3 linked regions of the Callithrix jacchus genome follow. The protein of the gene in region 1 binds, or shares a complex with, the protein of each later gene. Links are inferred from orthologs where the notes say so. Each region holds a gene or a part of one and is shown on either strand. Other genes may lie near its edges.

Region 1 (4,515 bases):
AATTATTTCCTTCTCTGAGTAAATTAAAAAATTGACGTGGATGGTTTCTTAAACAGAAAAGAGCCAAATTACCAATGTAACTTTATGTTTAAGGGCTAAAACAGCTGTTTGTTTTATTACCAATAAATAGAAAATGGACTCAGACTGAAATAAGGATTATTTTCCCAAGTCTGGATATCAACACGTGGCTTTGGGTGTCAGCATGGTATTCCAAAATAATGAACTTTCTAATAGTGCTGGAAGTACTAAATTAGCTTACTTACCCTTATAACTTTATAAGAGCCAGAAGGTATTGTTTCAAAATGACTTTTTAAAAATGGAAGTGAATATGCAAAGATAAGTTAGGCAATTTGCCTAAAGCTTCATCAGGAGACTCGGGAGGAGACAGTGAATTAGATCCTTTAGAGTGCAGTGTTCTTTCTGTCTACTTGCCAAAGACGAAGGCATCTGGGAGTCTATGACAGCTTCAATAAAATACATAAAATGACTAATGATGCTGCTGATTAGGTGGAAAGTGAGAGAACAAGTGTTTAGGGATGCTAGAATTGCCAGTGGGAAATTAAAAACAAAACAAAACAAAAACACATCTCCTAAAGGCTTACCTCTGGTGGTTTCGCAAGTATAACATCCATTACAGCATCAAAGATTTATAGTTTTTTTTTTCTTTGAGACAGGGTCTCACTATGTTGCCTAGGCTGAAGTGCGGTAGCACGATCATGGCTCACTGCAGCCTGGAAAATTTTTAAAAATTTTTGTAGAGACAGGTTCCCACGGTGTTGCCAAGGCTGGTCTTGAACTCCTGGCCTCAAGTGATCTTTCTGCCTTGGCCTCCCAGAGTGCTGGGATTATAGGTGTGAGCCTATAATTTGGGAATTAAATCCCCAAAGCTGAAGTCTGGGAAGAAGTCACTTATCAGTGAGTGAATCTAGCCAGCTACTGAGCATTTTGTTATTTATTTATTTTTTGAAGACAGAGTCTTGTTTTTGTCGCCCAGGCTGGAGTGCAATGGCACAATTTCAGCTCACTGCAACTTCCACCTCCTGGGTTTCAGCGATTCTCCTGCCGCAGCCTCCTGAGTAGCTGGGATTGTAGGTGCCCGCTACCATGCCTAGCTAATTTTTGTATTTTTAGTAGAGATGGGGTTTCACCATGTTGGCCAGGCTGGTCTCAAACTCCTGACCTCAGGTGATCCACCTGCCTCGGCTGCTGTTCCCCTAACAGCAGCAAACTCATCTTTCAACTTACTTTTCCTCACATTACATATATAATTTGGAAGAAGGAACAAAAAAGCGAGGGAAATTGCAATCTCCTAATTGAGGTATAAAACATAACTTTCCACATTGAATAGTTACAAACACTTAGGAACAGTGTGACAGGAGGCAGAGATACCAACAGCACTGGAAATGATGATGGAGATCAAATCTCAAAAAGCAGTTTTCTATAGCTTAGTCACACTTGGCTCAATTTTTCACTTTTTGTACTTAAAAGGTATGGCAATTTTTTGGTGCTTTATTTAGTAATTATGTCATTTTGCCTGATAATACAATTTCAGTACATTACTTTCCTTAAATCATTTCCCTTTGGTGAAACAGAAAAAGCAGAATTGGTCTTTAGGCATGTGTGCTCAAATCAAATGATCTTTCCCCATTATGGCTATGTTCTTCCAGTGGTCACCTTCCCTTCAATATTCTTTCATGCAGCAAAGTGAGTCTTTACTTTGTACTAGGAACTGTTCTGACACTGGGGAAACCATGTCAACAGGACCCACATGATCCCTGTCCCTGCCCTCAAGGAGACAGAAAACAAATGAACAAATACAATAATTACACAGGGATCGGGAGCTGTAAAGGGTACTCTATTAAAGTTAGTGGCTGTGGAACTAATTTGAAGAGGGTAGTCAAGGAGGGCTACTCTGGGACAGATTTAGACAGAGGCCCGAGGAAAGATGGATTTGGATAAACAGTATGTTTATGGAGAGTTCAAGGAAGAGGTACCAATTACACTCATGCTGTGTGTGTAAAGGAGGCAGGATAAAAACTTTCGTTCCAGGCATAGAGACCATAAAGTGTATCTTGGAGAGGAAAAGTGTGTTGTAGAGGGTTAGGTGGCCAGTGTAGCTGAAACTTCAGGAGCCAGACAAGAAACGGGATTGTAAACGTGGGTTAAGGACCACATCAGGGCCTTGTAGGCCATGGCAAGGAGTCTAGCTTTTATCTCAATGCCAAGAGAAGCTGTAGGATTACTTCAGACAGCTGAATTACACGATCTGTCTTTCTTGTTAAAAGATCACGCGGGTAAAACGAGACGTGTCGAGGAAAGTTTTAAACCCAGAGAACTTAAGTCAGATGCAAAAATTATGCACTTCTTCGGGCCTCAGGTTTTCCATAAGTAAAGCCTTGAACTAGAAGCCATTTCCTTCCCACTGCGATGTGGTGAGTTCTGAGCATGGGCCGCGTCAGACTGACCATGGAATTCCCCTCATCGATGCCGGCGCCCATCTACGCCGGCGCCCAGAACACAACTGGCGCCCTGAAACTGTTGGTCACCGCAATGAATCAATGAATGCTCTGCTATGGACGCGGGACCAGGCCCCGGCGCCAGAAAAGAACGCGATGGGTCGCGCGGGAGGCCGCGAGAGGCTTCCGACGAGGACGTAGGGGCCGGCTCCAACACAACCAAGGCGCGCCGAGCAGGGGAACCCGGGCCTCGCAGGTTGAGGGAAGAAAAAAATCGGACTAGGGCCCGACACCGGGAACTAGGAGAGAAGGCCGAAAAGTGGGGCGGAGGAAGGGTTCTGGTTCCAGGCCTGGGGGCCCAGCCACTCACCGCAGCCGTCGCCAGGCTGTGCATGTTGGGAGCGGCCGCCGCTCTCCTTTCGCAGCCGGACGCGCCCGACCCGCGTCCCAGCTTCAGCACCCCTGCCGCCGAAAATAATGAGCCGCTGTAGCAGCCATCCGCCTCTAGCTCGCTCCGCCCCCTTCGCAGCCCTCTGACCTATCACCTCTGACCCCACCCACACATCCTCTTCCCGCCCCCTGGCCCTCGGCCTAGTTAACAGTCCCGGAGTCTGTCCTTTGCCTCTTAAGATTTAGGACCCGAAAAACGTCCGCGACCAACTAGTTCCCGCAACTCCTAGCTTTAAGCAGATATTTCCAGAGAGCGGCGTGAACTCTGACCCTTCTCCAGAGGCCAGTGAACGGCGGGAAAAAATGGACCGTCCCGTGAGGAAAACAATTGCGCATGCCCAACTGGGCAGAGTAAGAGGGAAACGATGGGAGGGTCGAAATCGGGTGAAGCAGGAAGTGCGCCTGCGTACTACAGTCAGGGCTGGGGCGGGGCTGACCGGGTTAGGCCGCACTAGGTGCTGTTGGGGGCGGGGCGAGGGCGTATGAGGGGCGGAGTTTTCGCTGGCGCGCACGCGCCTGTGTGGTCGCGTCAAGTCTGCGTGCGTGCGTGCGTGTTTGCGTGTGGTCGCAGTTCCCGCCATCAGCCGCTCGCTCTGACTAGGGGTAGGTAGCGGCCTCCCTCCTTTGGGTTTGTTATCCCTACTTTCATTACCCCTGGCTCCTCTCGCTCTGCGCCGCTGCGTGCTTTCCGCAGGTCTGTCCGGGGGCTCTGGACCCTCAGCGCAGGTAAGGAGGGTCGGGGTAGCTTCTCAATTGAGCCGTTTTCCCTAGCGCCCAGTCCCTCTGTGCGATCCGCCCACTCGGTGTTCACTCTTTTGGAGTTCGCCCAGCTGCTACTCAGGCCGCCCACAACCCCTGGACGCACCCTCAGCCTCACAGGTACTCCCTTTGGGTTCACTGCCCCGGCTTTCCCCTCTCTGACTTGGTCTCCACTGCCAGTCGCTCCTTCCGAAACTCGAACCTGGCCCCTTTCCTCTGGGGCTGTTGTCGTCAGCCACTTTGCCTCTTAACAAGGCCTGTCTCTTCTGGTGACTGTGACTTTGGTTGCCGCACATCCACCAGGCCTTGGACATGATACTCATTTACCCTCTTGACCATGTTCACCTTCCTCTTGACCAGTCCTCACTGCAAAACATGAGTTGTATTTTTCTTGTGCATTTCCTTGCGCCCATTTCTAGCTATCACATCAGGTTGTTTGATTTCGTTCTTCTAAGTCATGATCTGTAAAAGAAATGATTGATGACAAAGTCCTGTGTCCAGGAGAATTGTCCTGAATTGGTTTTGGGGTAGTCCTCTCAAAATTTCAGCTCTGTGTAAATTCCTTTGTTGAGGTGGCAATTCCCGACAAGTCTCTGACTGGAAGAGACATCTGAGAGGGAATGTCAAGTAGGCAGTTGGATATAGTGGGTGAGCTCTTAGGAGAGTTCTGAGCTGGATACGTAAATGTGTGTGTGGGTGTATATGTCATCTGCCATGTTAATGTTAATTGAAGCCACGGATGTGGATGAAATAGCCTAAAAAGAGTATAGTGATGTAAAATAAAGGCAACTGGGATGGAGCATTGAGGGATTCCTGAGGTTTAATCACTGATAGAGGAGGATGCGTCTTG
Region 2 (4,487 bases), on another chromosome or scaffold:
ACACTCTACAGATTCTTCTCTGTAATTATAGTAATTAAACTTAGGTAGACTATGTGGTATCCAAAAACAGTGGAAACTTCTTAAAGCCAGAATACATTTCTTCTCTTGTTTTTGTTCTATTAAAGGCTTCCAAAAGAACAACAAAGATCAGGAAAACAGAGAAGTTCAGAATGAATGTGCTGTAAATTCCACTATCTGACCATAACTCAGAAAATGCTGGGACTCCGAATTTTAGATTCCTAATCTTAAGATTTCTCCCCTGCAAAAGGCTGTAAAACCATTTCCTATACCCATATAATGTTAACTCGGTGACACTTCCTTATTTCCCTAACTGAAATAATATCCTTCCTTTTTGGTGTTATTTCAAACACAACCATGAACTACTTTGGAGGAAGTGGGTGTATCACTCCTGGGGTTTTGAGAGATGTTTCCATAAAAGCAAAAGCAACAACAAAAAAAAACCCACACAACCAAAATGATTCTATTTTATTCTCTCATAAATAGAATTGGATTTTAAAAAGCTAACCACTGTTATACATATGTGGCATATATATGGGGACTGCAAAAGCCAGACGACTAGCAAAAATACGTAACCCATTTTTGCTCCAAAGTTAGCTAGGATCTGTGGGGAAGTAAACAATAGCTTTCGAGCCCCTGAATGTGGTGTCACTCAAAAATTAAAGAGGAATCGCACTATGTACATTTAATTTAACAAGTCAAATTACTGTATATGGTGGCCAAAGGAAAAGAAAAAAAAGAGGCCAGCATGGTGGCTCACACCTGTAATACCAGCACTTTGGGAGGCCAACGTGGGTGAATTACAAGGTCAGGAGTTCAAGACCAGCCTAGCCAACATGGTGAAGCCCAGTCTCTACTAAAAATACAAAAAATTACCTGGGCGTAGTGGCGGGCACCTGTAATCCCAGTTACTCAGGAGGCTGAGGCCGGAGAATCCCTTGAACCTGGGAGGCAGAGGCTGCAGTGAGCTTAGATGGCGCCACTGCACTCCAGCCGGGGCAACAGAGTGAGACTCTGTCTCAAAAACAAAAAAAGATAAAATAGCAACTTAAATAATACCAACGGGATGAGGGCAATGTCTCATGCCTGTAATCCCAGCACTTTGAGAGGCTGAGGCTAGGGGATCACTTGAGCCCAGGAGTTCGGGACAAGCCTGGGCAACAAAGTGAGACCCCATCTCTACAGAAAGTACAAAAGCTTAGCCAGGCATGGTGGTGTGTGCCCGTAGTCCCAGCTACTCAGGAGACTGAGCTGGGAGGATCACTTGAGCCCCAGGAAGTCGAGGCTGCAGCAGTGAGCTGTTATTAGGCCACTGCATTCCAGCAGCAGCAACTGAACACCACCATGTCTCAAAAAAAACCATCATAACAGCAATTCTGTCTGCCACTCTCCACTTTGTAAGCACATGCTCCAAAAGGAGCCTAAGATAAGAAATCACAAACACACCGTTCCCTTGGTTTGTCTTCCACCTTTTAAGCCTCCTCAGTGCAAGTATCTCACAGAGCATCACAACTGTATGCCTTTCAAATATGCTTATTTGCACAACACAGCTCCTAAAGATAACCTAACTACTTTATCTGGGGTACAACCAAAGCAACAGTATTAAGTTTCAAACTGAAGGAAAAACCGTCCAAGATGTAGTCAGAAACACGATGCTAATCTCAAATTTGCACCTTCCTAAGGAATGTTTAAGGATTTTTATCACATACAATGTTTGCCTCACAGGCTGACTTAAAAAGTCGATTCCCACATGAGCCACACAGGAAACTGTGCAAGAGGGAAAGGTTTTCACAAATACACACACACCCCTATGAATTACTGAAATCCGTGCCCTGTGCTGACCTGCAGTGCAATATGTTCAGATCGCTCCCGTTGACCTACAGTGTAAACTTTCTCCAAAACATATAGCTCCTTATTTACACACGAAAGCTTTGAAGGGCAACTAATGATAACGCCACCGGAAAGTTTTCTCTGCAAGTAATCAAGGTCTTGCTCGGGAAAAGAAATGTTGAGTCTGATTTTGTTTGTTTAAGCCCAAGTGTACAAGGAAACAGTAAACATCACTTCCCTATTCTAGAGGACTGAACAAAGATTTTGCCGTCTGTAGATGAGACAGAAAAGTAAGTGGCACGTTTGAAGAAATTACAGCGCTTAAGAGGGTCCTCTCCAAACTAGGCTGCCACCATCCTCCGACTCTCCCCTACCCCAAACACTGTCTCAAGGCACTGCCCTGAACTGAACCGCAGTTCAAACTTCTTAAAAGTACCCTAATGGTACTTTTAAGTTGGCTCCTCCACTCATAAAGCAATAGAACGGCAAGAAAAAGTTGCGGGACCGCAAGAACTAAGGAGGAGGCGGCGAGTTAGAAGGGGGAGGCCAGCAGGGTTCCAAATTCAGGTCCTCTCCGCGACTCAGTCTCCCATCATCATTCTCTTCCCGTTTATCACCACCTTTCTACTTCAAACCACACTCAGTCCTCCTCCTTCTGACACTCCATTTTTCTTTGTTTTGCTTGGTAAAGCAATGTTAAAATTATGGGCCTTAGGACTAAAAGAACTAAGTTCGAAGCCAGGCCAGGCAAGGCCACGTAGTAGTTGTATGTTCTTGCATAAGCCACTTAACCTATTTCGTGCCTCAGTTTTCCTATCTCGTAAAGTGGGTTTGATAATAGTATGCACCGCGGAGAACTGGAATACAAGTTAAAATGAAGCATATGAGGTGCTTTGTAAAGTCCGCGAACATATCACTCGAATATTATCGTGAGGCGGTAGCCATTATTATTACTACTCTTTGCTGGACTTCCTCTCCTCCTCACACACCCTGTCCCTTACACATGCCCCCCACTCCCCGTCCCCCTACAGACCCCCGATGGTCTCTCACTCTTTCATCTCACGCTCCACTTTCCAGTAAGCGTAGGCCCGCTTACCGTGACTGGCAGGGCACGCGAAGCGCTGGCTGGCTGGCGAACTGGCGGGCCGAATCCCCGACGGCGGCGGCGGCGGTCCCTGACCCAAAGCTCTCCTCTCCTCTACCCCGGATCCGCTCCTAGAACCGAACGAACCAGTGAGATGGGCGCCCCCGTGCCCAGAGCGGCCTTACGTACCTTCCACCAAACAACGGGACGTCACCACTCTACCCAGTCGATCCGCCCGACTCGCCTGCTCTCTAGAGTCACTGCAAACGCGCGCGCGCCTAGTCATGCCCGCTCCTCCCCCTTTGCGCGCCCCTGAGACTCCGTGCGTGTTCGCTCTGCCAGTGAGCTCGCGGGAAGCAGCGCGCAGCCGCAGAACCAACAGGACACCGAATAGGTGGGGCGCGGCGGCCTCGAAGCACGCTTGCGGAAGACCGCCCTCCCGCGGCTCTCTTCGCGAGATTCGTTGCGCCCGCTCAATTTAACCAAGATCCCTACTCCTCCATTTTGGTCCTCTTTCCGCGGGAACAAGGAAGGGGCGTGGTCTAGAACTAGGCCCCCACCGTGGGCGCGGCCTGGAAAAATCCAAAGGCTGAGGAAATGGCAATGCCCTTCCGAACAAACCCCCCGAATTGCGACGCCCCCCTCCTCCTGGCTTTGAAGGACCGCTAAAATCGTTGGCAGGAAGGGATTTGTGGCGAGGCTGACCGGGAAAGAGGCTGTCCTGGCTTTCGGTTCGAATGGGGCCCCCTAGATTCCTCACTTACAAAGCATCTATATATCTTACGATTCCTTTCTGGCAGTTAGGGGTGGGGCGGCTCCCCAAAGCCGAGTTTGGGTGACGTCCGCCAAGGCCCGCCTCCCTCCCGGCCTTACCGAGCCGGCGAGGAGCGTTGCCATAACAACCGGCCCGCCAGGGCCTGCTGAAGTTACAAAGAGGATGGCGCCTCCCGTGGACACAGCGCCTAGCCAGCGAAGGCGTAACCCGGCTCCAAAACCTTTGCGGACGCGCCAGGGGTTTGCCGGATTTTAGTGTGGAGACCCACGGGCTCAGGCCTCGCCCAGGAGCTACTGAGGCCCCTCTGCCAGCCACTTGGTTCCCCTTTAATCCTGCTTGAAGAGAGGGCTCTTGGCTGGCGCCCGGCCTGTGCAACCTGTGACCAGATGGGACGCGCCGCTGCCTCGTGTTCTCTGCGGTGGGACGGAAGACAAAGCGCCGGCTTCCTGTACACAGCGTCCGCGGCGGGCCGCCCTCAGCCACTCTAGCCAGCGCTCCGCCCTTGTTCCCGAGAGGACGTGGGGGCGGCCCTAATCAGAGTTCTAGTCCTTTTCCCAGATGCTTGTATTTGAGGGGCTGTTTGAAAGCGAACAGCAAATGTACCCCTAGTGAACGAGAGAGAGGTTCCTACTATTATTCACTTTGCACTTTTAAACATTTCCCCCTCAGGGGATTCTCCAAAATCCTCCTTCCTGTTCCTAGGCTGAAAGCCAACTGGCCGTGAGCGGCAATTTCAAACAGGATTCCGAAAAGCTATTCTCCAGGGAGGTGAACTCCTAG
Region 3 (3,800 bases), on another chromosome or scaffold:
AACAAAAGCCAAATAAAATCATTCTGAAGGTTACTTTAAATCCCTGGATCGTCAGTTTAGTTTACTTAGATAGGTAAACTCTCATACATGGAAGTCTATTTTCACAAAATAGGAACTAGTTTCCTTACCAGAAACACTCTTAAATAATCTAGTTTTACAATAATAAAGAATTAAAATCTACCACTTATTGATAATTGACTGTTTATAAAGTAATTTACTGACTATTAAAGCAAGTCTTCGAGATATTTCTTCTAAGGGATACCTTATCACATTATTTTTAAAAAATTAAATTCCATCTACACACACACCCCTAGCATTTTCTTGCTGTTTCATTTTAGATAGTACTTAGCACTATCTAACAAACCACAATATGAACTCCATTTTTAAAAAACTGTCCACCCCCATCAGGATATAAACTCCATGTGGACAAGAATTTTCATCTGTTTTAGTCACAGCTTAATTCCTAGCATTTCATCACAGTGCCTGCCATATTGTAAATACTCAATAGATTTTTGTAAATGTAAATTAATGGTTTCCCTTGTAGAACATTAAAAACTAAGGTGCAGAAATAGTAAAAGAAAACCCTGGGCAACATCAATTCCAAACGGCATTGCTGGCTTTAAACTAGGCCTTTCACTTTCTAGGGAACGTGTACTCTTTCTACTACGCAACATGCTTCTCACAGGCAAAAATGGATCCCATATTTTAAATTAACCTTTAAGCAGACTAACATTAGCCTCCTAAGAATTAGGTGACAACTCTATATGGCAGTCAACTCTTTCTAGAATTAAGCCTGAAATTGCTAACATAGTGACCGAAGTAAGTGTGATGCAAGTATGAGATGGAAACACAAATGGCATTTTCAATGCAGTCGTTTTACCTATGAAATGACAACCATTTGACCCCTTCACAGAGGACCACTCCTGAAGTCATGAGAAGTTCTGCGAAGTACTGGGTCTCAATTCCTTCTTCCTCATGTTTTTTAAACTGGATACCAGATGTTGTTAGCAGCTCTATAGAGTCCTGGGCATACATGTCCTCCCTGGCAGAAGAAAGAGAAAGATTCAAATATGCCATTACTTCAAACAAGCTGTTCTTCTGCTTACACCTGTAACTACAGTGCCAATAAGGAGAGAGAGGATTGGCTTGATTCCAACTGTTTGAAGGCTTTAACCTTTGTGCAAGAAAAATGCAATTTAAATGCAAGAGTCATTGTTTCTGAAAAGTGTTTCAAACAGTAAAAAATCATTCAAAGAGTTCAATGGTGCAATTTTAATCCTTACTATTAACTCAATTTCATTAGCCTTTCATACTTAAATACATTTAACTGGGTTTGGAAAAAGGGTCTTCTACTCACCAGGGGCTACCACCACAGAGTGACAGACAACTTTTTTCAGACTCTCTGTCTCAGCAGTCATTGTAATGCTGCTAGGTGGAGCTGCAGCCATAGCTGTGGGGGATATGCCCACCTCCTATGGTCTTGGCAGCATAAGGAAGGAGACCCAGTGGAAAACATCTCATGTGGTTGAGGTAAAACTACACTTCATCCTTAAGAAGAAGGAGATGCCTTTCATAAATGATAAGCCTTGCAAATGGCTCCAATAAGCAACACTGCTTAAAGTTAAGGACTATGCTGTAATAGCAATAATTTCTTCTGTCAACAATCATATTCCTAAAAGACTGCCTTATAAAATCAAGCCAGGAAATCTAAATATAAACCAATTCTTCAAGATTTCACTTAAGCCAAAAAGAAAGCCATCTCTAATTTCCAACCACAAATTTATGTGTATCTGAAATATTTAAAAAGTTATTAAAATACACATGTATTTTTGAGAATAAATGAAAAAGTATTTTGTGAATCTGCCATTGAACTTTTTATTTACTTTTTAAATTGTAAGAATAATGGTTTCTACCTTTTGGCAAAAGGAATTGCTATTAAACACTTTAAACAAAACTAAACCAAGGGTATATTTCACTTGGGCCAAAAAGCATTCTTATGGTTTGTCCTCTGGAAATCATTTTTAAATGTCTGAAAAATTACAAAGCTAATAATGGAATTATTTTAAAATAGAGGCAAACTACAATAATCACTTAAAAGTTAAGTCTCCCCTGGAAAATCCTTTAGGAAAGGTAACAGAATAAACCCAATGAAGTTGTTTAGTATTTTTTGTTTTTTCCCCAGTTAAACCACAGCTTTCCTAGGCTAAAAATACGTACTCAAAAAATTAGTATCTCAGTCATCAGGTCCCAATGCTCACAATGAGGTATGCTTTAGCAACTATAAGCAACCAAAGGCACAAAAAACAGATTCTTCCCCAGGCTTACATCGCTTTTGGCCATTTGCGAAGGTATAGGTGAACAAGTAGTTTCAGATCTTTTAAATTTCCAATAACACTTTTCACCTGTTTACTTGTAGCACATGGCTTCACCCTATACTTGCTTTACAAAGAAATATCAGATCATCAACATTCCTGTTTTTTTATATCAACCCATCTATCTGAAGATCTTTTTCCTTTAGACTCCGAAGACAGCCTGCCTCATCGCCAAAGCTAATTGCTGCCAATGCCTTAGATGCTTTTCCATGCCATTCCTCAAAGTATTTGTCAAGTGCCTATCTTTATCCTAACACCCGGCAACTCAACTCTTGAACACTCAAGTATGTCTGTGTATTATCTATAAAACAAAATAAAAACCACCCTTCTGTTGAATTCACTTTCCCTTCTTGAGACAGGGTGTGGCTGTCATCCAGGAAGCACTGGCTTGAACACCACTCACTACAGCCTTGACCACCTGGGCTTAAGCAATCCTCCTGTTGCAGCCTGTCAAGTAGCTGTGACTACAGATATGCACCACCATACCTGGCTAATTTTTGTATTTTTGTAGAGATGAGGCTTTGCCATGTTGTCCAGGCTGGTCCTGAACTACTGAGCTCAAGCGACCTGCCTGCCTTGGCTGCCAATTGGCCTTGCAAAGTGCTGGGATTACAGGCGTGAACTACTGCACCCAGCCTCCCTTCTTATGGAACTATCTCCTTTTCACTACCACTTTCCTTAACTGAAGCATCAGCTTCCTTTCTGTTACCAGTGAACTGAAGATGCCCTGTCATTACTACTGCCCTATTAAAATGATTCAAATATCAAGAATCACTGCAATCACCAAAAGAGATGATTTTTTACAAATGTGTTCTAATCCTCTCTGACTTATCAGTGACAATATTTCCACAGACTGCTTTTCCTCTTCACAGCTCAATACTCCACTTCAATTTTCATGGGTATATCAACTCCAAATTCAGTTTGGAGAGAATTCTCATACATTGATTGGTATTAACAACTGTAATTCTTAGACTCTGGCAACAGAGGAAACAGAAGAGTTACAAAATAGTGAGTTATAAAGACCATGACCAACTTTCCTCAATACTGTATCTCTAGTGTCTAGCACTGTATCTGACACTCATTCTACCCACTCCATTAGGAAGTCAATCTTAACTTTCTTCAAAATTTCCAAGATTCTGTTCATGGCGTTCTCTCTGTATTAAGCACTACTGGTTTATCTGCTAAATGACCTTTCCACCTAATGTTTTTCACTGTTTCCTTCTCCTTAAACATCTCCTAACATCGGTGTAAATCAAGCTTGTCCAACCTGCAACCCGTGGGCCACATGTGGCCCAGCATGGCTTTGAATATAGCCGAATACGAATTAGTGGACTTTCTTAAAACATTTCGAGTTTTTTTCTTTTTTGCAATTTGTTTTTCTTTTCTTGAGCTCATCAGCTGTCATTAGCATTAGTGTATTTTATGTGT

The links. The genes of interacting proteins can lie anywhere in the genome.
Region 2: CNOT9 (region 1) and CNOT8 share a complex: the UniProt entries of both Homo sapiens proteins name them as parts of the CCR4-NOT complex. The link is inferred for Callithrix jacchus from reciprocal best matches to the Homo sapiens genes CNOT9 and CNOT8.
Region 3: CNOT9 (region 1) and CNOT7 share a complex: the UniProt entries of both Homo sapiens proteins name them as parts of the CCR4-NOT complex. The link is inferred for Callithrix jacchus from reciprocal best matches to the Homo sapiens genes CNOT9 and CNOT7.

The regions. Positions count from the first base shown.
Region 1 is NC_133507.1:140,310,445-140,314,959, reverse strand, and holds the start of CNOT9 (CCR4-NOT transcription complex subunit 9), read right to left. Parts: upstream 2,992-4,515; 5' UTR 2,851-2,991; coding exon 2,827-2,850; intron 1-2,826. UniProt on the Homo sapiens protein: Component of the CCR4-NOT complex which is one of the major cellular mRNA deadenylases and is linked to various cellular processes including bulk mRNA degradation, miRNA-mediated repression, translational repression during translational initiation and general transcription regulation.
Region 2 is NC_133503.1:54,075,966-54,080,452, reverse strand, and holds the start of CNOT8 (CCR4-NOT transcription complex subunit 8), read right to left. Parts: upstream 3,060-4,487; 5' UTR 2,945-3,059; intron 1-2,944. UniProt on the Homo sapiens protein: Has 3'-5' poly(A) exoribonuclease activity for synthetic poly(A) RNA substrate. Its function seems to be partially redundant with that of CNOT7.
Region 3 is NC_133514.1:24,436,693-24,440,492, reverse strand, and holds part of CNOT7 (CCR4-NOT transcription complex subunit 7), read right to left. Parts: intron 1,043-3,800; coding exon 881-1,042; intron 1-880. UniProt on the Homo sapiens protein: Has 3'-5' poly(A) exoribonuclease activity for synthetic poly(A) RNA substrate. Its function seems to be partially redundant with that of CNOT8.